Linked DNA regions of Struthio camelus. The protein of the gene in region 4 purifies or fractionates together with the protein of the main gene of each other region. This does not show direct contact. Links are inferred from orthologs where the notes say so. Each region holds a gene or a part of one and is shown on either strand. Other genes may lie near its edges.

The links.
Region 1: the proteins of MPHOSPH6 (region 4) and EXOSC2 purify together in Homo sapiens (affinity purification with mass spectrometry; 8 studies listed by BioGRID and IntAct, with this or other methods). This does not show direct contact. The link is inferred for Struthio camelus from reciprocal best matches to the Homo sapiens genes MPHOSPH6 and EXOSC2.
Region 2: the proteins of MPHOSPH6 (region 4) and EXOSC7 purify together in Homo sapiens (affinity purification with mass spectrometry; 4 studies listed by BioGRID and IntAct, counting the BioPlex papers as one, with this or other methods). This does not show direct contact. The link is inferred for Struthio camelus from reciprocal best matches to the Homo sapiens genes MPHOSPH6 and EXOSC7.
Region 3: the proteins of MPHOSPH6 (region 4) and EXOSC4 purify together in Homo sapiens (affinity purification with mass spectrometry; 7 studies listed by BioGRID and IntAct, with this or other methods). This does not show direct contact. The link is inferred for Struthio camelus from reciprocal best matches to the Homo sapiens genes MPHOSPH6 and EXOSC4.

The regions. Positions count from the first base shown.
Region 1 is NC_090961.1:6,313,791-6,321,749, forward strand, and holds the start of EXOSC2 (exosome complex component RRP4), read right to left. Parts: upstream 3,010-7,959; 5' UTR 2,948-3,009; coding exon 2,823-2,947; intron 2,707-2,822; coding exon 2,605-2,706; intron 2,515-2,604; coding exon 2,469-2,514; intron 1,822-2,468; coding exon 1,732-1,821; intron 1,383-1,731; coding exon 1,317-1,382; intron 1,142-1,316; coding exon 1,073-1,141; intron 1-1,072. Other genes in the region: PRDM12 (PR domain zinc finger protein 12), read right to left, coding at 5,394-5,776, 6,839-6,950. UniProt on the Homo sapiens protein: Non-catalytic component of the RNA exosome complex which has 3'->5' exoribonuclease activity and participates in a multitude of cellular RNA processing and degradation events.
Region 2 is NC_090943.1:50,965,425-50,973,073, forward strand, and holds the start of EXOSC7 (exosome complex component RRP42), read right to left. Parts: upstream 3,005-7,649; 5' UTR 2,854-3,004; coding exon 2,797-2,853; intron 1-2,796. UniProt on the Homo sapiens protein: Non-catalytic component of the RNA exosome complex which has 3'->5' exoribonuclease activity and participates in a multitude of cellular RNA processing and degradation events.
Region 3 is NC_090943.1:173,041,268-173,047,966, forward strand, and holds EXOSC4 (exosome complex component RRP41), read right to left. Parts: upstream 2,802-6,699; 5' UTR 2,746-2,801; coding exon 2,575-2,745; intron 1,457-2,574; coding exon 1,250-1,456; intron 1,080-1,249; coding exon 720-1,079; 3' UTR 510-719; downstream 1-509. UniProt on the Homo sapiens protein: Non-catalytic component of the RNA exosome complex which has 3'->5' exoribonuclease activity and participates in a multitude of cellular RNA processing and degradation events.
Region 4 is NC_090951.1:5,796,005-5,803,040, reverse strand, and holds the start of MPHOSPH6 (M-phase phosphoprotein 6), read right to left. Parts: upstream 3,003-7,036; 5' UTR 2,905-3,002; coding exon 2,854-2,904; intron 1-2,853. UniProt on the Homo sapiens protein: RNA-binding protein that associates with the RNA exosome complex. Involved in the 3'-processing of the 7S pre-RNA to the mature 5.8S rRNA and play a role in recruiting the RNA exosome complex to pre-rRNA; this function may include C1D.

The DNA.
Region 1 (7,959 bases), on a different chromosome or scaffold from region 4:
GAGAATTAGCTAATGTCTGTGCAGCCCTTTGAAGATGAAGAATACTCTGAGTTCTTAGCACAAATGTTAATAATATCTTGATCGTAACTACACATCAACCATCCCTGCAGAAAAATGAAGAGTGAGAGGCCCAATTTAGCAGAACGCTTTCCCTTTTAATCCAATAGCTGTCCTTCACCCTTTGTGCAATAAGCACATTTCGCTTTCATCTTTTAAGCGCTAATACCTTTGGTCCGGTAATCCCAAACTGCAGCCTACGCTCCAACGGCCCCTTGGCTTATTACAATGCGCAAAACCAGAGATAAATGCCAACTGCATAAAGCCTAAAATAGAGCCCTGGGGAGAGAAACAAGTTATAAAGGCAATGGCCTGCAGAAGAGGAGTTAGCAAGTTTGAGCCAGAAGTTTTTTCTCCTCAGGGTTCAATTCCCAAAGGGTTAGTGGGGGAAACAGGACTCGCAGCCTGTAGTTGTGGACAAGGAGGGCTGTGGTTCAAAGGGCAGCTCAAGGGTATTCCCTTTGCACTGGGGAACTCCAATCTGTTTTCCCATGTGGGGGCTACGATCCTTCCTAACTTGTAGGGATGGGTTCTAACAACACCCTGCTTTACCCCAGAGCTTTTTCTCTTAAAAAAAACAAAACAAAACACACACACACACACACACACACAAACACACACACACAGAGCAACCTCTCACAAAAGGCCTAATCCTGCTGCTACTCTGATATAAAGCCAAAGAAATTCTACTGACTTGGGTGGAGTTGTGCTGTATTTAGGAAGGGCCTGGCCTTCAGCCGCAGGACCACCAACCTAGGAGGAACTGTCTGACGGGCTACGTATTATCCTTCATCAGAGCACTCTCCAAAGGGACCTTCTCTCTCCTCCCTGCCCTTCTCACATCCCATTTCTTGCAGCAGGGAGATGACATCCCAGAAAGAGCTCTGATCTGCTTCAAGCTCCAATCCATTGCAGGTTTGGAAGTCTAAACCATACTCAGCAGCAGCGTAGACACTCCCTTACAAGTCAACTGGAGCAGAATTAAGCCAAAACTAAGTGCTTTTGAGCAACTTACCTTCCCGTATTTCAGACTTCGGGTGTGCAGTGACACAGCCCCATCAGAAAATACAGACTGGACTTCTGCCTGTCAATGCCACTTAAGGAAACAAGCTCCCTAATGCTACTCAGTGCCAACAGGAGTTGGCTGCTCACTGCCCAAAGGCAGAGAACTCTCATTATCAGTCTGGCTAGCTAAGGTCTAGCCATTCTCACCCATGCCCCTTGGGTCTTCTGCCTGAATGCAAGCAGTGGAAGGATACGCTGATGAGGTCTCCTTCCTGCAAATAGTCCCTCATTGCAAGCTCATCTTCTGCAGATCTCCTTCTCTGAAAAGCAGAATGGGAGAAAAATTACACGTGGCCCAGGATGGAAAAACGTCAAGTGATTCCCACACCGAGGGGACCACCTCCTTAGGATGGCACGCAAAACACAATCTTGGCAGCAAAGAAAAACGAGGTTCTGGTATTTAGGTCACTGTCCAAATAACACTAAGAGTTAAATAAAGATACCAGAGCACTACCGATGCACCTACAGGCAGAAACACCAATACTACCCCTGTGCTAACCGTGGGAAGGGCTCCAGAGCCTCCCAGCTTCTCGGTGCACAGCCCTCAGCTTCTGCTGTAAAAGCAGAACAAGAGAGGCTCTGGCACTGCTCTACATCAATTGCACTCACCAGTTCCCCACCAGGTAAATTCATAGATGACAGCAACAAGACTGAATCTAGCCTGGAGTTGGTTTCCACTTTCCATCGTTTCTGCTGAACCTGCAAAAGAAAAAACTCTGTTGATATATGCTCACAAAATGAACAAAAGCTCTTCACCAGAGAGGGAGGTCCTGCTGCCACTCAAGCCAGCAGCCCAGCACGAGGCAAGCTGCAGACCAACAAGCCACGCACGGTGATTGAACTGAACGGCCCATCCCACGATGGGTGCTCGTATCAGCGAGCTCACACTGTACAAGCACTGACACAGAGAGAGGCGAGAGCTGAGACAGCACTGTAGCCTACTTTTAGCCTCATCTTTTTTAAAATCCCAAATGTTAATAATATTAACATTTAATTGGTTAATGGTCCGTAATTAAAACCATGTATTTTCTCCTCAGTTCTTAGTCTTTTCCAGCATCCCGCAGACGGGAAGAGCTCAGACGCGCCAACTCCAACCCTGCAAAGCACTTAGTTGTCCTAATGCACGATGGCAAGTGCTGAAAAGCACAAATACTAATGTGCTTTTAGGAGCCTCAGAAACGCTCTGGAACAGACAGAGATACCTCAGTCTGGTGGACCGTCCTCCTCATCAGCAGCACTCTTGCCCTTCAAATATGAGCCAAGACTTAATTCCCACTTAACAGCGCGTCAGGAAAAACCGGAGTCACTAACGGGGAAGAGCAGCCGGGACCCTCTGTGAGCTTTACCTCAGTGATCCTCCCCACCACGATGTCGCCAACTTCACCGTTGTACCTGGGAGCAAGAGAGCGCGCGTTAGGGCAATCCTGTCTTGGCGGCGCCTTGGGGGCCACGCGCGCGACGAGGCCCGCCGGCCGCTCGCACCTGGTCTTCAGCGCTTTGACGTACACCAGCTTGTTCACCCTCTCCACGGCTCCGGCCACCGAGGCGATGAGCTTCTCCTCGCCCACGTAGGTGCCGTGGCCCCTGCGGAGAGAGCGGCCCTCAGCCGGGGGGGAGTCAGCCGCCAGAGCCCCCGGAGCGCCGCTGCCCTCAGCGAGCGGGGCCGACAGCCCCCGCCCGGCCCGGCCGGCTGCCCCCACCTCATGTAGCCCGTGTCCGTGGTGATGATGTCCCCCGGCGCCACCAGGTGCTTCTCGCCGCCCCGCGCCGCGCTCTGCCTCACCGCCTTGCGGGCCACCGGCAGCCGCATCGCTATCGCCGCCATGTTGGCTGCGGGCAACGCCGCGCCGCGCCGGCGCCCGCTTCCCACACGCGCCTTCCGCCCGCCATGCTGGTTGCTGGCAAGAGCGCGCGTGAGGCCAGGGCGCCGCCATCTTGGCTGAGGGCCGCGGGCGGCCGTCGGCGGCAGTAGCGGCTTCGTGTTGGGCGGCCATTTTGGTTGCTGGCAGAAAAAGACGGCGTGGGCTTCACCGCGTTGGGATCCAAAGGGAGAGAAGGGGGGCCATGTTTGGTGCGGGAAAGGTGGCTGCCCGCCTCCTCCACCTTAAGGGGCAGGCTGTGGGGCTGAGCGGGGAAGGCTGCCCCGCAGCCGGGCGCCCCCACCCCGCAGCAGGAGCTGTCCTCGGGGAGAGCTGTGGGGTCAAGGGCTGAGCGTGGGGCCGCCAGCCCCCAGCTGGGGTGGCCGCAGACCTCTCCTCCCGCCGGCGGCCCCGGCCCCCCGAGCCGAAGGGCCCTGCTGAGGGGCTGAGTTGCCCCCATCTCGCTGCCGGGTTGTACGTGCGACAGGGGAGGGTTGCATAACATTACTCCAAAAAAAAAAAATCACATCTCATAGATTTTTAAAAAAGAAAACCAAACAGTCGGCGCCTCTCATTGCCGAAGTCGCCCTCGGGCCCGGTGATCTTCCACCAGGCGACAAGGGCTCCTCCAGCCCCCCCGGGCTGGCCTGGAGGGGTGAGGAGTTTGGCAAAGCTGCGGCAACGGTCAATCACCTGCTTGCGTGGAAGTTTTATTCACTTCATTGGTTAGACCCTCGGAGCTGCTGGGAAAATACCAAGGGAAAAGAAGCCCGTGATGACCTTTAGGACTGCGTCTCTTCCTCTGGGCCAAGATCAAACGTTATTCTTTCGAGCAAGACTTATATCTGTAGCCCGGCACAGAGGAAACATGGCCATTATTTCAGGGAAGACATCAACAGTTGTTGCTTCAAATAAAACGAGAAGATACTGGACCAAATAGTGCCATCCGTCTGGATTTAGGCTGAAGTTGCCGCTTCTCTTGCAGACCTGCAAAAGGGTTTCTGCATCCCAAAGCTCTCTTTCCTCTTCCCCAGCAGCACTGCTTGCTCTAGTAGATGAAACTACGCCCCCTTATTCGCCTTGTACGCGTCCAAACCGTCACGCGCCCTGACCACAGAGCAAAACAAAGCTCCCCAAACCATCCGTCTTCTAAATGATAAATGTTCCAAGTTATTTTTATTTAGAATACAAGAGAGAGGTACAAACGTATTTACACTGTGTACATATACGATCAAATAATATATAATATCAAAGTTTTGTAAATAATGTTTTACATAAATATTTACAAAGTTAAAGTGACAATTGTTTTCTTTTCTGGAAGTAAAACACAGTTTGTGAGAACTTTATACATCTTAGACTTATAATTAATATTAGAATACCTTCTTTTAAACTTTATGATACAAAGCCCTGCTCTCGCTTGTGGCAGGACTCCAGAGGGCGCTTAGAGTTGTCCTTGGGGACAGAGCTGGCCCAGGGACGGGCTTTCTCTGTCCCCAGAGGGCGGTAGAAGTAAATTTAAATGTTCCCGAAAGGCTGCAGGGAGCGATGGTCCCCGGGCTGGAGCAGGCACAGCCTGGCAGAGCGCAGAGAGACCCCCCAAGACCTGCCCGCGGATGGGGCATTCCCAGCTGGCACGTCCAGCCGGGGATGTCCCCACGGCCTCTGCCTCCAACGCCGCCGTCCAGAGGCGTCGGGGACGCCCGGCGCGCGGGCGGCAGGCGAGGAGGCCGAGCGCGGCTGGCGGGGACAAGGCGACCGACTGCTAAAGGAGGGCTCCCGCGGAGGCCGCGCTGGGGCTTGGCCATCTCTCCCTTGGGAAGAGCCCCCCGGGGCACAGCTGCCCCCCCGGGGGTAGACGGGCACCAACGCAATGGCCTGTATGGAGCTGTGCCAGCCGCTAAAGGGGGGGACGCGGCGCTGCTGGGCACTCGCTGGAGCAAGGGAGGAGAAGGGATAAGAGCAATTTTTCTTTCTGTCAAGTCAACTGTGAAACCCAGGTGTGACTCACCCCAGCTCAGCTTTTGGGCCGCCCCAGCCCTCCCCCAGTGCACTGGCCAATCCACAGGAGACATCCTGCTGTTTTCTGCCCCTCGGAGGCACGATCCCTTCGCCCGCTCCCAGGGACAAGGGACATCCCGCTGCCCTGCTCCCTGGGGAGCACCAAGCCCGGTGCGGCTGCACCCTGCAGAGCCGGGTGGGGGGATCTCTCGCTCACCGAACGGCCCCCCCAAACCCTGCGCGGACGGCGCTGCTCCAAAAATAAACCAATGCGCCCGTTCGGCACCCAAAGCAGCCCTGCCTCTGCCCCCCAGCTCCGCCAAGGGTCGACACCCCCCATCGCACCGCGCGTCTCAGCGCCGGGCTTGGCCCCTTGCCACCGGCTGTCCGCAAACCCGCCGCTGCGCCGGCGGCTCACAGCACCATGGTGGGGATGTGGTGGGCCAGGGAGGCGGGATGGGGCACGGGCAGGGCTGGCGAGTGGGCCTGCAGCGAGGCGTTGGGGGGCCGGTGGCGGGCGCTTTTCTGGTGGGCCCGGAGCCCGGCGAGCTGGGAGTAGGCACTTTGGCAAACCTGGCACTTGTAGGGGCGCTCGCCGGTGTGCAAGCGGACGTGGTTGCGGAGGGTGGAGGACTGGCTGAAGCGGCGGTTGCAGAAGCGGCACACGAAGGGCTTGTCCAGGGTGTGGATGCGCATGTGGGAGCGCAGGTTGCTGCGGGAGTTGAAGCCGCGGTGGCAGATCACGCAGCGCATGCGCCCCGTCGTGCTGGCGCCCGCCTCCACCGCGTGGAAGTCCTCTGGGGACGACAGAGCGCCGGACGGGGACCGTCAGGTGCTGCCCTCCGCCCCGGCTGTTCACTCCCTTCCCGAGCCCGAAATAACCACCCCGCGCCTCCTCCCTCGCTCCACCTGCCCGCTGGGGACGGCCACAGCGGCCCCATGAACGGAGACCCCCGCCCGCGACTCCAGGCTGATATTTACCGCTTTGGGATGTGGCCAGAGCTGGGAACGATCTCCTTAAATTTGGGGAAGGGGATTGCTCAGCCTGACCCCTGTCTCGCACGGAAGGGGCGCCCGCGGCGCCGTTCGCCTCCCTCTCCGTGCAGAGCCGGGGCAGACGAGCGCGGGAGCCGCAGTCGGGGCTGCTCAGCTCCCAAAGACTCTTTCTTCTCCCGCCCCGGGAGAGCTGGCGCCCGCTTCGCCCCCGGCTCTCTGCCCTGCTCTGCCGGGCTCTGGCCAGGGCTCGCGCCGAGCGGGGAGGAGGGCCGCGGGCGGAGGGGGCCCGGCTCCGAAAGCAGCGTCCCCCGCAGCGCCCTGGGAGCTCTGCGCCCGCCCGCCCAGGGGCACGTCGGGGAGCCGCCCCAGCCAGAGGGTCCCGGGGAGAGAAAGGCCTCCTGCCGGGGCGATTCGGGGGAAAAAGGGGTTGCGGCGTTGAGTGCCGAGCAGGGAAATCGGTGACTTTGTCCGCCTGGCGTTTCCCGGTGCCTTGGGGCTCCTTCCTTCCTGTTTGCACGCCTGCCCTGCTCCTCTCCCCGAAACCGTCCCTGCCGCACAGATATGCTCCCCACGGGCTGGGGCAGCGGGCTGCTGGCCACCGGACCACTAGTTGCCCTGGGCTAATCGGTTCACACGGAGCCCCTCAAATTACTAGGCACCTGCCCAATCTTTATGGATCCTTCGCAGGGGCTGGGCTCTGCTGCTGGATGGTCCCTGCGTTCGTCCCTACGGAGCCGGAGGGTCTCGTGCGTCCCCTGGGATGTCCCTGCCCCATGCCCACCCCTGCTCCCGGGGACGAAGGGAGCCGGGGGCAGAGGATGGGCACAGAAGCTGCACCCGTGGCCATTTCTGATGTTACCTACCGTGCTTGTTCTTCTTCTGCTCCTCTTCCAGCCCCGGCACGCCTGGGATGCCCAGGAAGGTGTTGTGGGAGTTTCCGTACCAGACCAGCAGCTCTTGGTCCGGAGGAATCATCTAGAGAGAGGGATACAGAGATGGGAGCGTCAGCGGGACGGCGAACGGCTCCCCACGCACCCTTGCCCCGTCCCTTTGCACCCACGCTCACCGCACCTCGCCTCCCGCAAGGTCTGTTGGTGTCTGGGACCTGCCAGAGGTGCCCGAGCACCCCCTGAGCCCTGAAGGCAATGACACAGGCAAACCACCGGCACAAACCTGCCCCTCGGTCACCCCCGTCCTGGGTGGCAAACGCTGCGGCTGGTGGAGGGGCAGCTACAGACCGCGCAGGCAGAGCCGGGGTCACCGGAGCAAAGGACCGAGAGGTCCCTGCTGCTTGGAGAGACGAGGACGTGGCAGTGCGCACAGAGACACGGAGGAATACGCAGCCCCGCGAGGGACAAGTGAGAGACGGCAGCAACAGAGACCGACGCAGGGAGCCACGACCCAGAAACCCGACTCGGTGCCTCGGCGGAGCGTTTCAGCCCCGAAAGGAGCAGTTGGCACCCGCTTGCTGTAGGACGTGGGCAGCATCTCCCACCCGACCCTGCTAGGGATCGTTTTAGCTAGGTTGTGCCTGCATTCGGGTGGAAGCGCGGCTGCATCAGCAAAGGGCTGGGTGAGCCCAGGGCGGGCGGAGGAGAGCTCGGCGGCTGCGGGAGACGCGGGGCGAGGCGGGCGACGCTGCCTGCACCCAAGCGCAGGCTCCTGCAACAGCTCAAACGCATCAGCAGGGTCAGGGAAAGCCTTTTGCACCGCTGCTGCTCCCATGTTTGTGAGCTGATCGTATTTCTGTTGTTTCTGTTACTTTCCTGCACCATCAAAGGCGTCGGGGCGGCTGGAGTGAGGGGCCAGGAAACGCTATTCGCAGCCTCCCGTGAGAAGCGGCCACAGTGGGGAAGACGAACGCTCTCGCGCAGGGGAGCAGCTGCTCCGGGCAACACTAACATAATCACTTTATTAAAAAAAAGATGTATTTTTCCCTTGCGGGTCCCTAGTGTTAGGAACGTAATTCAGAAATGAGAAGGAC
Region 2 (7,649 bases), on a different chromosome or scaffold from region 4:
TATAATCCTTTTTCTCTTGGCACTTCTCCCCACGTGTCTTTCACTCTTCCTCCCTGCTCCACGCACTACTCTCCAGCTTAGTAACAGGCTAAAGCGCTATACGACTGCAAAAACTTGGGAAAGAGCAAGGGAAGAGGGGGGAGAGGACGAGAAAAAAAGTACAGAACCACAGAATCACAGAATGGTTGAGGTTGGAAGGAACTTCTGGAGATCATCTAGTCCAACCCCCCTGCTCAAGCAGGGTCCTCTAGAGCACATTGCCCAGGATTGTGTCCAGGCGGGTTTTGAATATCTCCAGGGAAGGAGACTCCACAGCCTCTCTGGGCAACCAGGTCCAGCGCTCTGTCACCCTCCCAGTCAAGAAGTTTTTCCTCATGTCCAGATGGACCTTCCTGTGTTTCAGTCTGTGCCCGTTGCCTCTTGTCCTATCGCTGGGCACCACGGAGAAGAGACTGGCCCCATCCTCTTGACACTCTCCCTTCAGATACTTGTACACATTGATCAGATCACCTCTCAGTCTTCTCTTCTCCAGGCTGAACAGGCCCAGCTCTCTCAGCCTTTCTTCAGAGGAGAGATGCCCCAGACCCCTCATCATCTTTGTAGCCCTTTGTTGGACTCCCTCCAGTAGCTCCATGTCTCTCTTGTACTGAGCAGCCCAGAACTGGACACAGTTCTCCAGGTGGGGCCTCCCCAGGGCTGAGGAGAGGGGCAGGATCACCTCCCTCGACCTGCTGGCAACGCTCTGCCTAATGCACCCCAGCATACCGTTGGCCTTCTTGGCCACAAGGGCACACTGCTGGCTCATGGTCAACTTGTTGTCCACCAGGACCCCCAGGTCCTTCTCGGCAGAGCTACTTTCCAGCAGGGTCAGCCCCCAGCCTGTCCTGGTGCATGGGGTTATTCCTCCCCAGGTGCAGGACCTTGCACTTGCCTTTGTTGAACTTCATGAGGTTCCTCTCTGCCCACCTCTCCAGCCTGTCCAGGTCCCTCTGAATGGCAACACAGCCCTCTGGTGTGTTAGCCTCTCCTCCCAGTTTAGTATCATCAGCAAACTTGCTGAGGGTGCACTCTGTCCCTTCCTCCAGGTCATTGAGGAATACATTGAACAAGACTGGACCCAGGACTGACCCCTGGGGGACACCACTAGCCACAGGCCTCCAACTTGACTCTGCGCCATTCACCACAACCCTCTGAGCTCGGCCATCCAGCCAGTTCTCAATCCACCTCACTGTCCACTCATCTCGCCCACACTTCCTGAGCTTACCTAGGAGGATGTGATGGGAGACAGTGTCAAAAGCCTTGCTCAAGTCCAGGGAGACAACATCCACTGCTCTGCCCTCATCTACCCAGCCAGTCATTCCGTCATAGAAGGCTATCAGATTGGTCAAGCATGATTTCCCTTGGGTGAATCCATGCTGACTACCCCTGATCACCTTCCTGTCCTCCACATGCTTAGTGAGGACCTCCAGGATGAGCTGTTCCATCACCTTTCCAGGGATGGAGGTGAGGCTGACTCATCTGTAGTTCCCTGGGTCCTCCTTCTTGCCCTTTTTGAAGACTGGCGTGACATTGGCTTTCTTCCAGTCCTCAGGCACCTCTCCTGATCTCCAGGACCTTTCCAAGAGGATGGAGAGTGGCCTAGCGATAACATCCGCCAGCTCCCTCAGCACTCGTGGACGTATCCCATCGGGATCCATGGATTTATGGATGTCAAGTTTGGACAAAAGATCTCTAACCCGATTCTCCTCAACCAAGGGAGAGTCTTCCTTTCTCCAGCCTTCCTCTCTTGTCCCCAGGGTCTGGAATTCCCGAGGACTGGCCTTAGCAGTGAAGACTGAAGCAAAGAAGGCATTCAGCAACTCTGCCTTCTCTGTATCCTTCGTCACCAGGGCACCCGCCCCATTCAGCAGCGGGCCCATGTTTTCCCTAGTCTTCCTTTTGCTATTGATGTATTTGAAGAAGCCCTTCTTGTTGTCCTTGACATCCCTTGCCAGATTTAATTCCAACTGGGCCTTAGCCTTCCTTGTCGCATCCCTGCACACTCTGACAACGTCCCTGTATTCCTCCCAAGTGGCCTGTCCCCTTTTCCACATTCTGTACACTTCCTTCTTCTTTTTGAGTTTTGCCAGACAACCATGTCCTGCTGCCAATCTTCTCCCTGCTCTGATGGTCTGCTCTCCGTATGTTTAGTGACAGCTCTGGTAGAGTGACACAAATGGGTGATTATCCCAGAGCTTTCTCTCCTAGACCCAAGATAATGGAAAGCTTCCCCCCACCCACAAAATCTACACTGTAACTCATTTCCCCACAAATGATTAGTGAGCTACAGGGCTGAAAACATTGTTGATATCACAGAAGTAAACAATAAAGAGCCTGAAACATCAGATTATACTAGTGAGGCTTTCATGCATAATAAGCATTCCCCAGCTTGCATTCCACAGTGAGCACACCTGTCAGGATGATTACTGCAGTACACTCTGCTGAAAATTTGTATTTTCAGTAACACCTGCACAGTTTCCTTAAGCAGACTATCACACATAAGTCATAACAATAAAAAGCCCCTCGACAACGTAGCCCCATCTCTACCCAGGCTTTCTTTCCCAGCATAAACAAACCACCCCCCGGAGAAAAAGGGAAGGGAGAAACAAGGCAGGACACCTACAGCCTGCCGCTGTCCCGGAGCGCCCCGCACGCCCGCTCACGCAGACCAGGCCTGGAGTGGGGGGGGACGGACGGTCCTGCCCTCGCCCCTCACCGGGCAGCGCTACCACCGGCCACCCTCCCCGCCGCCGCTACCTGAACGCCGTGCACGATGTACAGCTTCTCCGCCTCGCTCAGCACCACCGACGCCATCGCTCCCGCCGCCGCGGACGCCGCGCGCTTCCGCTTCCGCCGCGGCCGTTGCGGGCGGAAGCGAGGGAGCGCGCGCGCCGCTCCGCTCCGCTCCCACGTGACGCCGGGGAGCGCGGCCGCCGTCGGAGCGGGGAGGCGGGCGCCGCGCCTGCGCACTGCCTTCGGCGCGCGCCCCGGCCGTTGGGGCGGCTGGGCCGCCGTCGTGGCCCCGTGGCAGGCCGTGCGCGCCCCTGATGGCGGGGACTTTGCGCCGCCCCGCCTGCCTCCCCCTCGCCCCGCTTGCCTGCAGGCAAGGTCGGGAGCGCAGTCGTTATTTTTTCCTCGGAAGCTTTTCCTGGGGGACAGGCGATGGGGGGCGTTTCTCCCGGCTTTAGGCGCCTGTCTCGTTGGGGTGCAGTGAGCTCCAGCCCCACCTGGGCAGTCGCGGGCACTGCTCTGGACACGGTGCCTGCTGAGCAGCCAGTGCGCCGGAAAATTTCCCGTCCGAGAAGCTCAAATTCGTCATAGGCCAAGGGGGTTGTTCATCGTTCTCTGCCTGCCCTTTGCCAAGGTAAAAGTTACTCATAGAAGCTGTGAAAATACACGAGCGTTTGGGAAGGGCCTGCACAGTGATAAGTACCCTAAGAAGAATGAGAAAATAAACAGGTTTTTTTACCTCGGAGAAGGGTCTGCGTGAGCTGCAGCATGCTGGGCAGGTTGGTGCAGGAGCGGGGAAAAAACAAGGCGTTCTCATTAGGAGAGTGCTCTTGGTTCTGTGCCATATATCCCTGGGAAAGTAGTATGGGAAATGCAATTAAAAACCCATACTATATATTAACCCAATAATTAAATTAAGGGGTTTTGACAGCCCTAATTGAGTGTTTCATAACAACAAGTGGTTAATGTTGTAAGTTGCATGTTCTTAGCACAGCTCTTGTGTATAGTTTTTGAATTATTTTTAATATTGCTATCTGGCAATATTAAATATCTTCACATTGACATATCTGTCAATATCTTCATGTTGACAGATAGCTGGGTAAAAAAGACCCGTGGCTTACAAGGATGACTAGTGACTTGCATGACACGCTACAAAGCCAGAGCTTCTGTAGAAGTTTCCTGTGCTCTTTCCCTAAACTCCTTGGTCAGTCAGATGTGCGAAGCGTTTCTGGCTGTGCCTACTTCAGCAGGCAATCTGAAGCATGCAATGGCAGCTATCCTGTAGTGAAGCACATTTTGGGAATTTTACTTTGGATTAGCTCTGGTCTGGTCCCTTTAGTGGGCTGAACGTTCATTTAGCATAGTAGGTACATTTCTAGAATGCTTCCCATTGCTTATCTGCATCCAGAAAGAATCACGTTCCTGCATGCCACGGTTATTTAGTTGGGATTACTGATCACTTTTGAGCAGAAAGGGTCAGCAGTGGGGTCTCACTCAGGGAAGTTTGGAGGCTGCTGGGTGGGTGTAGTGCATCATTGCTCTGCATGCATGGGGGTTGGAAGACGGGGGCATGAGGGATGGGGGAGCCCCATGTCAGGGGGCCCCGGGCACCATGGCAAATTTGGCACTGGCAGCCTTGCGTCTGGAAGATCTTCATTAGTCTCTAAGGTTGTGGGGCTCCAGGGCCCCATGGATGCTGGCCCAGGAAGTTGGGTCCTGGCAGACAGGGACAGGGGGGTGAGTCAGCCATCCCAGGGCAGGGGCTCTTGGGAAGCAGGGAGAGGAGGGAGCGCCAGGGTTGCCTCTGTGCTTTACTCAGGGCCTGCCTGTCGGGGCTCATCCTCTCCTTGCTTGGACCCAGGGCCACAAGCTCCTCCAGGATGGCGAGCAGGCACCCAGTCTTTTCATTTTTAGCAAAATAGCAGGAGGGGGGCAAGACAGGGAGGAAAGAGGCAGCAGTAGGCCTGTGGCAGTAGGCGGTGTTGTGGGTACATTGCCCTGTTCCTGAGCACCCTCCCCCTGACCCTGAGGAGATGAGCAGGGCCAGGCCTCCTCCTGGGGCTGGTCCCTGCCAACAGCTGTGAGGCTGGGGAGTAGGAGGGAAAGGGAATGACCCTGAAGAAAAGGGGCCAGGCTCACGTGCTCTTCCTAAATAGCATCTGCTAATGCTGCTGTCCAACACAGATGGACCTTTTGTGTCACCCAGCAGTGCATTTCTTACATTGTAGTACTTGACAGTGTAAACCACACTACAGTAAGGGGAAGTGATTGAGAGAGTCCCTTCAAAAAGTGAATTCCTGTTCTGAACTAAAGGGCTAACGCAGATGCATCCTGTGCTTTCTGTTGGGAGCACAGGGAAGACTGTATGCTGGCTCCTAGCTCTGTCTTTCTCTTGGCTTCATCCACAGCAGCTGACTGCAGTAGCAAGGAAACTGCTTTTTCTTCCCCTCTGCCATCCCAGCTTGGAGTCTGCCTAAAGTGAGTCAAATACTTGCATAGTTCAGATGCCTAGCTAGCAAATCTTCCTTGTTCACATGAGAACAGCAATTTTCCAGAGGCGTAAGTCTGTATCTGGTTTGTTTTTCTCAGGGATGGCAAAAGGCATCTGCTTGACATGAAGGCCACATCCTAGTACACTTGAATACCCTTATCCAAGGCAAAGCAACAACGAAGGTATATCAGAGAAAAAGGCTGCCAGATTTGTTAACAAGGGCAAAGCAATGTCTTTTTCTCTAACCTCATTATGGTAAATGGATGACATGTGTTGGCTGAAATGGAAAAATTAAATCTGCCTGAGGGAACCACCTGGAATGTAAAAATTCACACTGCATGATTAATGCTTGGTGAAGTTGTAAACATCGGAAACAGTGGCTTAAAATGGAGAGTGTCAAGCAAACTTAACAACTGCCCTATCTATAACAAGCAGGTGCCTGGGAGTGATTACACCTGCAGTTATATGCTCTGTCCTGTTTGATGTTTCAGTGTTTTGGACATTTGCAAACCATCTGTCTTGTGCTCAAGAGTGAACATGGAAGTGCATCAGTTGTGACATACATATGCATGTATATACATGCTTACCCTTCAGCATACAGACAGTGGATATCGCACAGAAGCATATGACGAAGAAACGTTAGCACCCCCACTCTTGTATGTCCAGCATGACTCCTGACGTGCCCGGTATTGCGGGATCAGAGGGCAGCCCCTATCCTGAAGCCTTACAAGCCCACAAGGCTGGTGGGAGGGTGCGCAAGGCAGAAGCAGGAGCCTTGTTCTGGCTGCTGTGTACGTTGGTGCCCTTCATTTTTCAGTACTTTTTTATTATACAAGAAGTGGGGTTTTTTTCCTTACACAAACCATTTTTTATTCCGTATACAAAATGTATTTGTCTTCCAAGACCTGCATTTTCCTTCTGAAAAACGTATTTTTCCTTCTAACAAACATACTTCTTATATAGACGGTCTTTTTTCCCCCCTTGCTAAAACCTGTTTTTTTCCTCACGAGCCCCGCATTTTTCCCTCCCCAGGGCCGCCCGCCCGGGCCAGCAGCGGGCGGAGGGGCCGAGCCCGGCGGCCGGGGCCCGCGCGTGGGCCGGGGCGCCCGGCGGGGGGGAGGGGGCTGCGCCCTGCCGGGCGGCGCCGCTCACTTCCTGGTTCCTCCCGGCCGCCCGCCCCACCTCCTCGCCGAGCCAGCGTAAGGGGCGGCGGGGGAGGGCAGCGCCGCGCCGGGTCGGGGGGGGGGGGGGCAGCGCGCCGCCGGCTCCTGGCGGCCGATGGGGCGTCGCGCCGGGGGCGCGTTGGCCCGCGCGGCGTTGGCGGCGTGCGCTCGGGCGCGCGCGGCGTGGGGGCGGCGGGGCGCGCGCCGGACCGGCGGCGGCGGCGGCCTGTGGGGTAGGTGGTGGGGAGTGGCAGCGGGGGCCGCGCCCGCGTGGGCGGGTGTGGGCTGGTGGGGGGGCGTGTGTGAGGCCCCGCCGCCGAGGGGGGGGCCGCCCGTTGCCGCGGTGGGGCCCGGGCAGGCCGGCAGGGCCAGCCGGGGGCCGCCCTGTGCCCGCGCTGCGCCAGGGGCAGGGGCAGGGGCAGGGGCGAGGGCTCGGCGCGGGTGGCGTCCCGAGAGGTTGTTTACTGGAGCCGTTCGCCTCGGTCGCGAGATGGGAACGCGTCGGGCGGTTTCACGCTCGCCTTGCTCAGGAGAAATCCTGCGCTGTGCCCACTCGCTGGGCTCCTGTCTGCATTGCACTGGCTTGCAGCGTTTTGTTTTAAAGAACGTTAGCTTCAGTATGTTGTTTAGGTCCGCTTCAGTGCTTGCGTTACTAAAGGCTAGCGTTCGGGGCTGCGTAATGTCTCTTCGGCAGGAAATTTAAATTCTGAGGCCTCAGCAGTTTCATCGGGGTCTTACGATCCGCTAGTGAGCTGTAGCGATGAAACGCGGTTATTGGTGCGGTATCGAAGGGAGCAGCCAGACAGCTAAACAGAAGTGCTGACTTCAAAGGTGGCTCTGCATGTCACCTGAGGTTTCACTGCGGCTTTGCAATGGGATCGGAGGACAGTGATGCACTTCAAGGCTGGGAGTAAGCTGTGCTGAAACTAGGATGCTATGCTCTGGCTGCTTTAGTTGAAATGGACAGTGAGTTGTATTTTAATTGTAAATCTGTTGTTAAACAACAACTTCTGAATATTTCTGGAGTACTTCTCAAAAGTAATTTTTAAAAACAGTATGACCTTTTAGGAAACCTTAAGCTTTGAGAAAGCATACGAATGGAGGAGGCAAAATTCTGGTCTTTTACGTGCTCTCCCTCTGACTGTGTGCCAGGAAGGGATGCCTGGTGGACACCAGAACTCTGTAGCATGTTTTCCTTTGCTCCAGATTCAGAAAAGATAAAGTAT
Region 3 (6,699 bases), on a different chromosome or scaffold from region 4:
CCAGGCCCTGCAAGGGGGAGCAACGGCCCCCCCCCCGGCCAAACCCTGCAAGGGGGAGTGCATGTGCAGCAGCCCCCTCCGGCCAGGCCCTGCAAGGGGGAGAGCAATGGCCCCCCCGGCCAGGCTGTGCAAGGGGGCAAGGGGGAAGCAACACCCCCCACCCCCCCGGCCAGGCCGTGCAGTGTTGGGGGTGGGTGCGAGCAACGGCTCGCAGAACCACACAGCCGTGCCGGGCCGTGGGGCTGCGGCGTTCCCGGGGATTGCCCCCCCAAGACGAGCGAGCGGCGGCCGAGCGCAGGGCCCTGCCGTGCCCAGGGCCGCTGGGCGTCCCTCCCCGAGGCCTCGGTCCGCAGACTGGCGGGACCCGGGCTCCCACGGTAGCAGGGAAGGGGAAACAGGCGCCGGCAGGGCCGGGCCGGGCCGGGCAGGCTCCGTCCGGGATGGCGGGACGCGGCCGAGGGAGGAGGGGTCCCCCGCCAGGGGCCTCGCAAGCATCGCCCCAGCGCCCTCGAGGGAAGAGACGCCGACCGCGGCCGAGCAGCCCTTTATTGAGGACGGACTCCGCAGGGCGGGACCTGCCGGCACCGGGCCGAGCCGCGGCCCGCGGACCCCGGCTCCACCGACACCGTCAGCAAAGCCGCCCGTGGCGGCGCTCCCGGCCGCGCCGCGCAGCCGGAGCGCGAGGGCGCCGAGGGGACGCGCGGCCGGGGCGGCCCGGTTCAGTCCCCCAGCAGCGCGGTGACCTCCTGCACGTGGTCCCGCACCACCTGGTCCAGGATGGCGTGCACGGCCTTGCAGGCCTTGCTGGCCGCCTCAATGACCTCCTCCAGGTGGTCCTCGTGCAGGCGCGAGTTCATCTCCAGCAGGGCAATCTGCTCCGACGTGGGCAGCAGGGCCAGGGCCACCTGCGGCCCCCCGGACGCCTCCTCTATGTAGCTGAGGTCGGCCAGCGGGGTGTCCTCCACGAAGCCGGCCGAGCTAGCGCACACGTAGTCCCGCATGGGGATGCCGGCGTCGATGACGGCCAGCGTTGCGGCGTTCACGCAGGCGCAGTAGTTGCCCCCGTCCGCCTGCAGGATCTGGGGGAGCGGCAGGGCAGGCTCAGCGCTGGAGCCAGCCCCCGGCACCCCTGGGGCCGAGGCCCGGAGCGAGCAGGGCACAGCCCGCCCCGCAGACGGACCGTCCCCTCCCCGTCCACCCCTGTCCCCCACCGAGGGGCTGTCCCTCCCCCGCCGGCCCCGGGGCTCGCCTGGACGTAGATGTCGATCTGGGAGCGGGGGTAGAGCTGCGTGAGGATGGCGGCCTCGAACGTCTGCTTGAGGTGCAGCGTCATCTCGCTGGACTTGCGGTCGCCGTGGGGCCGGCGCTTGCGCTCGCTGGTGCTGAAGGTGGCCATGCTGTACTGGCAGTTCACCAGCGCCCGGTCGTGCAGGGCCTTGCTGCGGGAGCCGCGCATCTGCAAAGGGGCCAGGGTGGGCTCCAGCCCCAGGGGGCCCAGACACCTGGGTCCCTTCTGGCTGGGGCGGGGCGGGGGGGGAACAGGGGATGCTTGGGACCGCGGGTAGGATGTGGGTGGGGGAAAGCAAGCTGCCTGGCTCCCTCTTGGGCCCGGAGGGGAGACAGGAGGGGACAGAGAGGACAAACCTGGCCACTTGGGCCTGCTGGCCCTAGGGGGACGGAGATGATGGAGGGGACAGAGGGCACAGCAGGAAGAGTCCACCTGCCTGGGCCTGCCGGTCCGGGGGGATGGAGGGGAAAGAGGGGATGGAGGGGACAGCGGGGACGGTCCACCTGCCTGGGCCTGCCGGGATGGAGGGGACAGAGGGGACAGTGGGGACGGTCCACCTGCCTGGGCCTGCCAGGATGGAGGGGACAGAGGGGACAGTGGGGACAGTCCACCTGCCTGGGCCTGCCGGTCCGGGGGGATGGAGGGGACAGCGGGGACAGTCCACCTGCCTGGGCCTGCCGGGATGGAGGGGACAGAGGGGACGGCGGGGATAGCAGGGACGGTCCACGGGGATGGAGGGGACAGAGGGGACAGCGGGGACGGTCCACCTGCCTGGGCCTGCCGGGATGGAGGGGACAGAGAGGACAGTGGGGACGGTCCACCTGCCTGGGCCTGCCGGTCCGGGGGGATGGAGGGGACAGAGGGGACAGTCCACCTGCCTGGGCCTGCCGGGATGGAGGGGACAGAGGGGACGGCGGGGATACCAGGGACGGTCCACGGGGATGGAGGGGACAGAGGGGACAGCAGGGACAGTCCACCTGCCTGGGCCTGCCGGGATGGAGAGGACAGAGGGGACAGTGGGGACGGTCCACCTGCCTGGGCCTGCCGGGATGGAGGGGACAGAGGGGACAGTCCACCTGCCTGGGCCTGCCGGGATGGAGGGGACAGCGGGGACGGTCCACCTGCCTGGGCCTGCCGGTCCGGGGGGATGGAGGGGACAGCGGGGACAGCGGGGACAGTCCACCCGCCCGGGCCTGCCGGGATGGAGGGGACAGAGGGGACGGCGGGGACACCCGGCCAGGGGTCGCGGCAGGCCCAGAGGGACGGCGGCCCGGGCGGGCGCTCACCTCGTGGGGGCCGTACACCACGGCCAGCGCCTTGGTGTTGCCCTGCTCGATGTAGGCCGAGCCGTCGGCCTGCGCGAAGACGCCCATGCGGGCGCGCACCTTGCGCAGCTCGGCGGCGCGGCGCCCGTCGGCCCGGTAGCCCTCGTCCGACAGCAGCTCCAGCGCCGCCATGCCGCTCCCGGCGGCCCCCGCGACCGCGCCCGCCCGGCGCGGACTTCCGCTCCCGGCGGCCCCCGCGCGCCCGCCCGGCGCGGACTACACCTCCCGGCGGCCCCCGCGCGGCCGCCCGGCCAGCAGCGCGCCGCCTCCGCCGCCAGAACTACAGCTCCCAGCGCGCACCGCGGCGCGGCCGCCGCTCCCGGCATGCCCCGCCCCCGCGTTGCCATGGCGGCGCGGCCTGGTCGGAGAGGGCGGCCGGCCCGGCCCGGCCCGGTTCCCCCCGCGGGGCGGCGCCGCGCCCGTCCCTGCGGCCCGCCCGGTGCCCGGTCTGCCCGGAGCCCCCGGCCGCCCCCGCCTCCTGCTAGTGCCGACCCTTGAGGCTTCTGGCCCTGGGGATTGCTCCCTTGGGGGTGGAGCGGGGCCATTTCTTCCTTTTTTTGGTGTTTTTTTGGTGTTTTTTCCCCCGGTTGCCTCATTTCTCCGTCGCTCCCCGCCCCGTGATCGCTCCGCTCGCGGGACGACGGTAGTGCGTGAGCCGCGCTGCGCTGCGGGAGCTCGTTGAGTAGAAATCAAACAAGCGCTTAATCCCTCTGCTACAGACCAGCCTAATCTCACAACTCGCTAATTCGCTACTTCGTGCGCTGACGAGCAGAACAGAGAGCGGGCCGACGGCGGGAGCGCTCGCCCCTCCTGCTCGGCCGACGGGGCCGTGCCTTCCGGCTCGGCCCTGCGCCCTGCACCTCTCGCTCGTTTCGGGCGCTCCGCCAAGATACGCTTACTTCCAAAGAGTTTCGGTCTTATCAGGTGTTAACAGGCGGTTACTTATAAAGCCGCCGCCGCCGGGAGAGCAGACCCGGCTCCTTACGTCCTTGAGCGCCTGGCGCCCGCGTTGCTCTCGGTGCGCCCCGCGGGCACCCGGCCTCGGCACGAGCCCCGCGTTCGTCCCAAAGCGGAGCAGGAGTCGCTCCCCCGGCTTGGGACAGACCAAAGGACTCGCAAACCCGCCGCCTCGGCGAGCGGAGGTGCTGTTACTCCTCACGCCTTGCTGGGGTCAGGCTAGGGGAAAGGTTTGAGCGCTTTCGCCTAAACGTAACTTCACGGTTTGTTACCAGGTACCAGCTGATCATACCTGCCTTCAACACGGTGAGGTGAGTGACAGACTCGGCTATACGAACATAACGACATAATAATAAAATGCAGAACAATACCATGATCGTAGGATGTAACGTAAGATGCAATCTGCCATCCCGTGGAAATGGTGCGCATCCCATGGAAATATGCTACCAGTGACGCCCAGCAGTTTGATTTCTGTTTCAGTCCTCACAATCCAGCCAGCATCATGTTTGATAGCAAGAGTCACCCCTTCTTTGATAAGCAGCAGCTCCCTCATGTTTGGTGATGAGAGTTTCCAGTTCTCAATCTGAGAACACGCCGAGTCCCATAGCGGTCCTACGGGTCCTGCCCCGTCGTAGGCCAGTACTCCGCCAGCATCGGTGTGAGGTCAGCTTTACGCTTTCCACAAAGTCGTTCACAGCTTTCCAGTGCCGTAACGTTGCATCGGCGATCTCGGGCAGGAGCGATGGTTCTATTCATTCATTTATTTATTTATTATTTATATTCCCATTATTGCATAGACCATCGCAGAGCAAAACCCGGTTTTCCCTTAAGTACAACAGTGCCGTCATCATACGCAGGAGTCTAAACAGCAGGTACCCGAGGAGGTTTTACTCGAACAAAGCTCTTGCGATACCGAACGTTCAGGGCGGTACAGGTCATGTTTTCCCCATTGTTCACATCCGCGAGTATCGATTAGATTACGTTTGTAGTCTATTTGCTTCCTTGAACTGGAGCCCATACACTCTTAGCTACGGTAACGGGCAGTGAGGTATATTGGTAAATTGGTCTTTCTTTGATTTCCTTACTCACAGTGCGGTAATAAATGGATCCAGACGTCTCAGCAGACATCTCTTGCTTCCTACCCCTGAGTATTCAGTTTTGGTAAATTGGTGTCTCCGGTCCTGACACCAGTACGGTGATGGGGTCCCTCACACAGCAGGATTTCCTCTGTGGCTCCAATTGGCTTATTGTTCGTGTTCATTTATAACGAAGGTTTGCGTGGTAACACAAGCAGTGGCATGGCTGGTGTTGGAGACGAAACAGGGAACGGTGGTACACGTCTCCTTCAAAATCTGTTGGAGCTTTTTCCAGGGACTTAGACCAATAGCCAGTGTTTTAGTGGTTGTGTCCGTTCCACTGACTGTATCCGTGGTCTGGCCAATTATAACTTGTTTGCTTAATTGTCCTAGTTTAGGCATTTTATTATTAACAATCTCTAAGTCCATGGAATTCAACACTCCTGTGCCCAATCCAGCAGCTCCCAAACCACTGGAAAGATCCTTAACTGTGCGAGTTTTCCAACAGGACTCATATCATTGCTCACATATGGGTATTGTCCATTGTGAGCGATTTAAATATACCTTACTAATATTAACAGTGTCTCATCAACTCTTAATGTAAAATTCCCGTACTTCAGGGGCGGCAAAAAAAAACGCTAATCTTTTGGGAACTTCTTGGGCAATTGCTATTGCTGCCCTCCGTGGCACACGAGCCGCGAGCTTGACCGGTAAGTGGCACACGTAACGAGTCCTAGCGGCTCTGTTCCCTGCAGGCCTTGCCACCCTTTGATGGCATTCTCTGATATTTTTGCATGGGTACAGTTGTGCAAGAGGGCAAATGTAATAGACCCTTCCTTCAGTAGTATCGTGGTCACACTGGGGACGTTGTCTCCCTCTATAATGTAGCCGTTTCTCCGGACCGAGTCCAGGTCCTTGGATAGGGACTACTAACAATTAAGTGGACGGTAAGGTTGGTCAGGTGGTTTTAACCTTCTTTTTTACTACTGCACTGGTGGGTTGTAGATATGTTGGGCCTCATACCCCATGTCACAGAAGAAGTCACCAGCATGTGTGTGTTTGCTGGATTATTGCAGAGTGCATCCACGTTTATGCGCTATATCCTGGATTTCCTAAAGTAAGGATCAGAACTGTCGGATACACGAGGGGTCCTCTTAGATATTAGTGACATCCTCTGTGGCGATGACACAGCAAAATCAAAGTTAATGGCACAGCAAGTAGCAAAACGGGATAATTCAGTAGCTGCAAGGCTAGGCCGTGGCTTCCCTTCTAGACGTCATCCCTACGCGACAGTTCACGTACTTGCTACGCAGACGCTTTCCGTCGTAGACAGGTTGAACGACGGTTCCCGTTCCTTTGTCCGGGAGGTCGGCAGCTCCTGGGGGGGAACAAGACGACATAGGTCTTGGCTCCCATCCCAGCCTCAGTAGTGACTCGTCTCACTCCCGTAGATCTACTTTCCCTTGAAAGCGCTGCAGAGTAGCCCCGCGTTTCCCAGCCACGGTGCTGAATTCTCACCTCTCTCCGGGATGCCTCGCTGAGGTGCTCAAGGCACCTAAGTTTTTCCCCTAAGTTTCTTCCCCAATTAGAGCCACTCTTACACCATCTGAGTTGTTGTTTAAACAACCCGTTCCATCTTTCTACTATACCATTACTCTGAGGTCGATAGGGTCAGTGGAAAGTCCACTTACCTCCATGCTTGAGACACCACTCTTGTGCTATTTTCTTTTTAAAATGTGACCAATTATCTTGCTGTATCTCTTGTGGCATCGGGCGTGTACTATAGCATTGGCTTAATCCTGTTGCAATCCCCAATCTGGATGGCGATGGTGTGTGTGTGGGGGTAAACATTACCCAAACCGCCCGACGCTTCAACTGCGGTCACAATAAATTTCCACCCCTTGGAGGTAGGTAGCCTGAGTCCGACACAGTCCACTCGCCCGGCGCTCCAAGGGACCTTTCCTTCCCCAAGGTTTACTTGCTGTTGACTTTTGTCAAGATAAGCCTTCATTACATCACAAAATCCTCAGGTTTTCGCTATATGAACTGCTTG
Region 4 (7,036 bases):
CAGCTGGGAGTAGGAGAGGGCATCTCTCACAGCCCATGACAGACTGCTGAGAGAGCAAACCTACACATCTGAGATACGTGAAACACCCCTTCTATTTCCATTTGCATCAGCTCAAGTGCCTGAGCTGACTGCCAATTTAAGCATCAACAATGTTAACCCATTTCACCAAACACGCTAGAGAAAGGAGAACTCTTCACAGCTTTACAGTAATAACCCTTATATTCTCACATCCCTAGGAGCTGGGACCTCCCTTTGAGTCTACAGAAAGCCTTTGAATAACCTTATCTGTCTGGGCTACACATTTATAGCAACACAATTCCCAGCAAGAGGCTAGTCTATCAGTAAATTTTATACACATACCTGTACAAAAATTGCTATGTGGCCATCAAAGCATACCTGTATAACGGCATGTGCACCGCTGCACAGGAATCTCATATCAACTAATTCTACCCCTCTCATTTAAAGCAGCACCACTCCTGTGTTTAGATAAGCCTGCAGGCTGACTGTTAACAAGCCAGTGGGGCACATCTGTACCTTGAGTGGTAGCAGAGGCTCTGACATACTTTTGGTCCCAGCTAGAATAGCCTTGGCTTGGGGGTAAGGCCCAGGAAGGCATCCCTAAACGCCTCTCACACACAGCTCCCGTGTCACTGAGCTTATTAAAAAAAGAAAAAATATATACCCCCCCCCCTTTCAGACTTTACAAAATGCCCACAGCAACATGAAACAAAAAATCCTGAAGTAAAAGCCAATACAGTGCCAGTGTCTCCTTTCCCATTTATATTTCTATTTGCATCCACGTGTACAAGTTAATGAAAGAAAAATTGATTTTTGTTTTCTGAGTCGGCCCAAAACATGTCAAAGCTTTCCAATTAAAATTGCAGTATCTACTTGAGGAAAATATGGGAATCTATCATGTGGAAAACCATACCGCTCATGGAAATTGGTTAGCCAGTCAGAAGTCTCAACAGGAGAAATTTTGTTACACGCACCCAATTAAATAATCATTTTACACTACATTTTAAAGATTATGTTCCTACAGATTACCACAGGGAATAACTAGATAAAAAAATGTGATCATATTTATCTACAATGTAAACACGCATGAATGAATTAAAAGATACCAATTGTGGTAGACACAGAACACGCAAGTCATTAGCTGAGTGTTTCCTGGATCAGTTTACCCGAATAATGGAACCTGGATCAAACGGTGCAAGAATCAGAAGCGTGAGCCACGCTGTGACACCACGAGGCAAGTCGTGGAGTCCGGCAATTAATGCAAGGGGCTTCAACAGCACTGCCACTGACCACACCACCTTCTGGGCCCAGTTCACTGGGAACCTGCCCTTAGAATGGTGACAATACCTGCAGAGGCAACTCTTACACGATTAATTAAAATACTGGTAAACAAGGAGATCTGTAGAAGGAAAATGCTAAATAAAAATGGGTTATGTATGGCCTTTGCAAAGCCTATTCATCTCTTCAAAGCGGACCTACTGCTCATACTAAACCAGCAATTGTCATGGCGCTGCACTCGCATGCCTGTTCTCCACAGCCTTTCAAGAGAGGCATCTGAAAACTGGCTGCCAAAATCTCCCGAGGCTTAATAAACTGGCAAAACCAGTAGCAGGAATTTCACTTAAAAAGAAAGTATCAAATGCAATCCAGGCAAAAGGAGTCCTCCTCTGCCACGCGCTGCTGGCTAACTAAGTGCATCATCTACTCGCTTTGAAAAATAAGGAACGTTATGTCTGGTTCCCTCTGCGCACCAATTTTAGTCTTTCGCTAGCAGAATCTGTTAATATTCCACCATCCCTCTGTAGCAGAGTCCATTTTACATGGAAGATAAACTCCTTTCCGCTGGCATCTTGCGAAAAATGGGAACTATGCTCTCAAATATACATGTGGGGAAAAAAAACACGCTTAGGTAAAACACCACAATCAAGAAGCCACAAGGGCTCAGCCACTTACAAATGTTTAATGAACTTAAAAAAAAAACAAAAAAACCCCAATTAATAGCAACTTGTACTGGTTGTTTTCCAGAAAAAGAGGGCCATCAATCACAGCGGGATGCACTCTGCTGAATTAGGGGCTGCGTTACACGATGTGAACCAGAAGCCACGGGCCGGCAAGCGGAGACTCGCTTCACATCAGCCTTGACACGAGGGTCACAACTCCAAGGGTAACGGGTAGCTCACTATTTTATTTTACTGATGGCCTTGGCGTTCATGGGTTGGCAGAAGGGAAGGGAAAGGTGGTTAAAACCCCACGTTCAATGCAAACTGACCGAAAAAAAAAAAAAAACCAGAACACACACACACACACACACACACAACCAAGCACAGAAGTATCAAGGGTAAAAGCTCCCTGAAATAAGGCAAGCAGTATTAACATAATAGAAAGGGAAGGGAAGAAGTCTAATCGTTTTTATTCACGACAAACGACCTGCTCGCAGAGAAACCGGAGGGCGAGAAGAGACGCTCCAGCGTTTTTCGGGGCTGCCCTCTTGCCGGAGGCAGATCTCCGCTGCCATCGGGAAGCTCCTCTCCTGCCCCAACCCCCCGAGCCCTCTCACCAGGGTTTCAAACACACGGGGGGCTGCGGGGGGGGGGGGGGCAGCATGGCCGGAGGGGATCTTTTTTAAAAATTTTGGGGGGATTTTTTTTTTTGGGGGGGGGGGGTGGAAATACACAAAGCGGGGGCAGCCCGGCCTAGCGGCAGCCGCTGATCCCTCCGGCCGCGGAGGGCGGCCCCGGCTCCGGTCCCGACCGGCTCTCAGCCGCCGCCGCCGGGGCCCAGCGCAACCCCCGCGCCCACCCGCCCCGTCCCCTCCGAGGGCCGCCGCCGCCTCACCTTCATGCGCAGCAGGTTCTTGGACAGCTTGGCCTTCACCTCGCCCGCCATGGCGGCCGCCGGGCCCGCGCCGCCAGCAGGCCGCGGCCGATCCCCGCCCTCGCCTAGCGCCGCCGCCGCCCTCGCAGGGGGGGAGGAGGAGGAGGAGGAGGAGGAGGAGGGCGGCGCCGCGGCTCCTCCCGCTCGGGGGCGGCTCCGGCGGCCTGGGGAACCGCCGCCCTGCTCTTGCTGAGGGGGCCGGCCGGAGCCTGAGCCCCTCTGCTTTTACTTAATAATCCCGAGGAAATAAGGTTGCTGCGTGGGTTGGGGGGGGGGGAGCGAGAGGCGAACGGGGCGGGAAGGGGCAGCGCCCCGCGGGCAGATGGCCGCAGCTGGGACTTGACCCTCCTTCCCGACGGCCTGCGAGGGGCTGGGGCCGCCTTCCCTAACCGCGCTCGACGCCCCGCGTACCCGGCCAACGGCCCGCTCCTGGGAAGGCCCCGTCTTCCCCAGCTGGTGCGAAAATAAGATTAAATAAAAGCGTCCTGGATCCTGGATTTCTTATTAGCGCTGCGTAGTGTAGAGTTTTGTCCATAATTTTCTGGTGTTTATAGGAAGGAAGGAGGGAGATTTTATATAAAGTTTGCTCATATTGGCGTTGAGAGACTGCGTGACCTGTTTAGGTTTCGTTTTTTAAAAGTAAGCGCTTTTACTTGAGGAAAAAAAAAAAAAGGCAAAATAGTCATGTGATTAAAACTGGGAAGCAACTGAATTGAGTTGTTATAAAAAACTTCAAATGATTGATTCATCCTGAATCACGATTTTGGAATCCGAGCTTGGCAGTTCTCCCTTTAGGCTACCAGGCTGGGCTCTGGACGCTCACGAAGAAATCCTTACGCCAAATTTCCTTTGGCATAATTTCAGTTGACTCCCAATTTTCGGGTGACTTCCAAAACACAAGCAGGTACCACAATTTCCATATACCTTCTGATAAATCAGGTTCCCGAGGCCTCTCTGGATGCTCAGTACATATAAACCAGGCAATAAACTAAGAAGAGTGAGGGTACACCGTGCAAAAGTGTAACGAACTGGGGTGCACAAAAAAACGAACTAGGAAAAAAAAATGCCATACATCCAAAATGTAGGTCAAAGTGAGCTTGAAGAACATATGTAAAGATTTATATTCTAATAGAGTTCACAAAAATGTATAACGAAGGGCAAAACCTGCCTGCGGTGGGAAAGGAGAAGGAAGAATTATCAAAATCCAGGCATCTTTATTACACAGTTAAGCTCCATAGGTTAAAATGATTGAAACACAGAGCCACAATCACTTTTAGGACAGTGATAAAACTGCATTTAAGTAAGTAATTCTCATATAGGTGGAGCACCCTCATTTCCAGGTCTGAAAATGAATTGAAAGTGCTTAAGTGTTTCTGAAATTCAAAGCCCCAGCAAGGAAGTCTCTTTGTGAGCGTGGCCCATAACTCCCACTTCATTTAGCCCCATCAGGTTTATACCTTCTTTTTTCACTTTCTCTTTAACATTCATCAGCTCTTTCCAACAAAAGAAAGCTGGGCAGTTGTTCTGAGTTTTACAAATACAAATATGCATCGAAGAATGAGTATATTTGTCTTTGTGAAAGACCGGAATAAACCAATATGGGAGAGCTATTAATTAATATAATGGCATAGTACATCCATTATCTTGCTATTTTGGGTGTTATTTTCAATTTGCCGTGTTGATCGTTGCTGTGCTTTTGAGCCCTGCGTTTAATTGCATGGCCTTCAGTGTCACTCAGGTCTTTTTTTCTGAACAGTTTCAGTTAATTTACAGTCCAGGAACGTACTTCAAGTGATTCCTTCTAAATACACTGCTGTGCATCTGTCAACACTTGTCCAGCTTTTGTGCTGCTGCTTTGCGGGGCTTTGTTTGAGGTCCTTCGTCACAACTTCCTTCCTGTTCTGCTGGTGTAGTGACTCATCTCATCCATTTTTGCAACCCATTTCTCCAGCAAACTTCTCTTACAACTTTGTTTTGGATGCCACCTCTTCACGTGTTGGTTGCCTGGTACCTTTGATGTTAAGGAGCGTGCTAGCACCAACCCTTTAATTTTTGGGAGCTGAGTCTAATAATTCACAATGTGTTCCTTGGCGAGTAGGAGCTCTGGGTCCGCGGCCACAGCCTGGATGCACCCCGTGACCTGATGGTGTCTCGGTGCAGGACCGCAGCCTTGCACGGAGACACGTGGCTTACGTCTGTCCTGTACGTTTGGACATCAGCTAACACAGCATGCCTGCCTCAGCATGTCCAAACCTGAAGGCAGAAGCGTTTGGCAGTAAATGTAGTACAGGCGCTGTGATGTTTATTTAGAGAAGTGGAGATCGTAAAAAGGCTGCCACAGGATTTGATGTATTTCAGCTGTAAAAAAGTCGGAAGGAAATTTTTGGATTACATCTCCCATCGCTTGAAGTGGATGGGGAGGTTATAGATAACAATCAGCTGTCTCACGGACTGGATTATACTGTCTGCTAAATCTGAAGACATGCCACTGATGAGAGCAGAAATCTCTATGATTTACTGGTTGAGGGGGGGGGGGTAGGTGAGAGTAGACTCTAGCCCTGAAAATATTCCTGCTTCTGAGATGGAGCAGAGTGAGGAGGCAAGTAGGGAAAGATGCTCGGTTTAGAGAAGACACCAGGGTCATCTGAAATGACAATCAGACACCTCTCGCAGCTCTGACAGCTCTATGGCAACTCTGCTTTCAGCCTGAAAATTCAGTTATTTTTCAAAACAAAAATGCTCAGGAAAATAACTCAAGGGAAAGATGCTCCAACTCATCAAAGACTGTATGTTAAACAAACAGATAAAAGATTTTTCTTCCTAGGAAATGCAGTCCCATCTCCCCCCAGTAATTACAGGAGTGGAATCAAAGTTGTCATTAACATTATTCAAACAGTTATCCTTTTTAGAACAATACAAATTACAGTTGTGTACTAGTTTCATGCCAATGGGCTCTAATCTGAGGTAACTCATAGGTTCCTTTTCCAGTAACCTTTCATTTCTTCATATTCTTGTGGTATTGTGATTCCAGGACAAAACAGGTCTCTCAAACCCTCTATCAATCGTCTAGATTTCTTATGAACGGTCTTTGAATATGAAGCACCATTTTACACGTCTCAAAATATTTGAAGCCATTTTTTCCCTGCAAAAATCAAAATCCTTATAGCATGACAGATGAGTCATTCATTTGTGTCGAACTCCTCTACTATATTTTAAGTGAGGCTATTATGTGTTGTTCTCTGTGAATGAGCAAGAGCAAACGAGAGGCAGAGCTACTGGAGATTTGTTTGCAAATCTGAAAGCATTGTGTGAGGTGCGGCGTGCTGTATCCAGCAGGATGGAATCAGAAATGCACTCCGTTTTGTACTCCGTGCTTTGGGCAGAAATAGTGTGAAATTCTCCAAGCGGTAGACACCCATGTTTTTGAAGTGCAGGACTGAGTTTTTATCTCTGTTGTTCCCATGAAGTTCTGAGCCACTAATGCATACAGCATATCGACAGCTCCGAAGGTCCTGGGTGACCAGGGATTTGTTACAATATTCATTAGCCTTTGATGCATGCATGTATAACCTGGCGGCCCGGGTACGTTGCTCAGTCTGCTTTGTACCTAATCCGCAGAGGATATGGGCTTGTTACAGCTCTCAGCCTCAGAGTAGCACGTCAGCTCAGAGCGTACTGACTCATCCTTCTAGTTTTTGAAGTCCCCTTTTTAAAATTTGGCATCGGTTTAGGTTACAGCATTGACATATGCAGAGTATTTTACATCCTCGGTGAACCCCAAGTTCTCCCTTGCTTGGGGAACTGTATGCAAAGCCTACAGCAGAAGCTAAGCTCATATAATTTGGGTACCACAGACCCACGTTGCTCATGTTTTCTCTTTAATAGCCTTGGGCAGTATCACAATTTATGCAGTGTGAAAAGGCATGACTTAAAACTGTACTTGCAGGAAAATGGAGTTACAAAACCTCCAGAACAGCAAAGAAATGTTTTTATCTGAAGAAAGTGCCTGTTGTCAGTTTGGGAAAAGACAATTCATTTTAAGTGCTTTTGACTGTCCCGATGGCAGGGTGACCTTTGTGTGAATAAATACAGTAATTCCTTTTTGATTACAAAAAGCAGCAGCTTCATAATGGTAGCTCCCTAT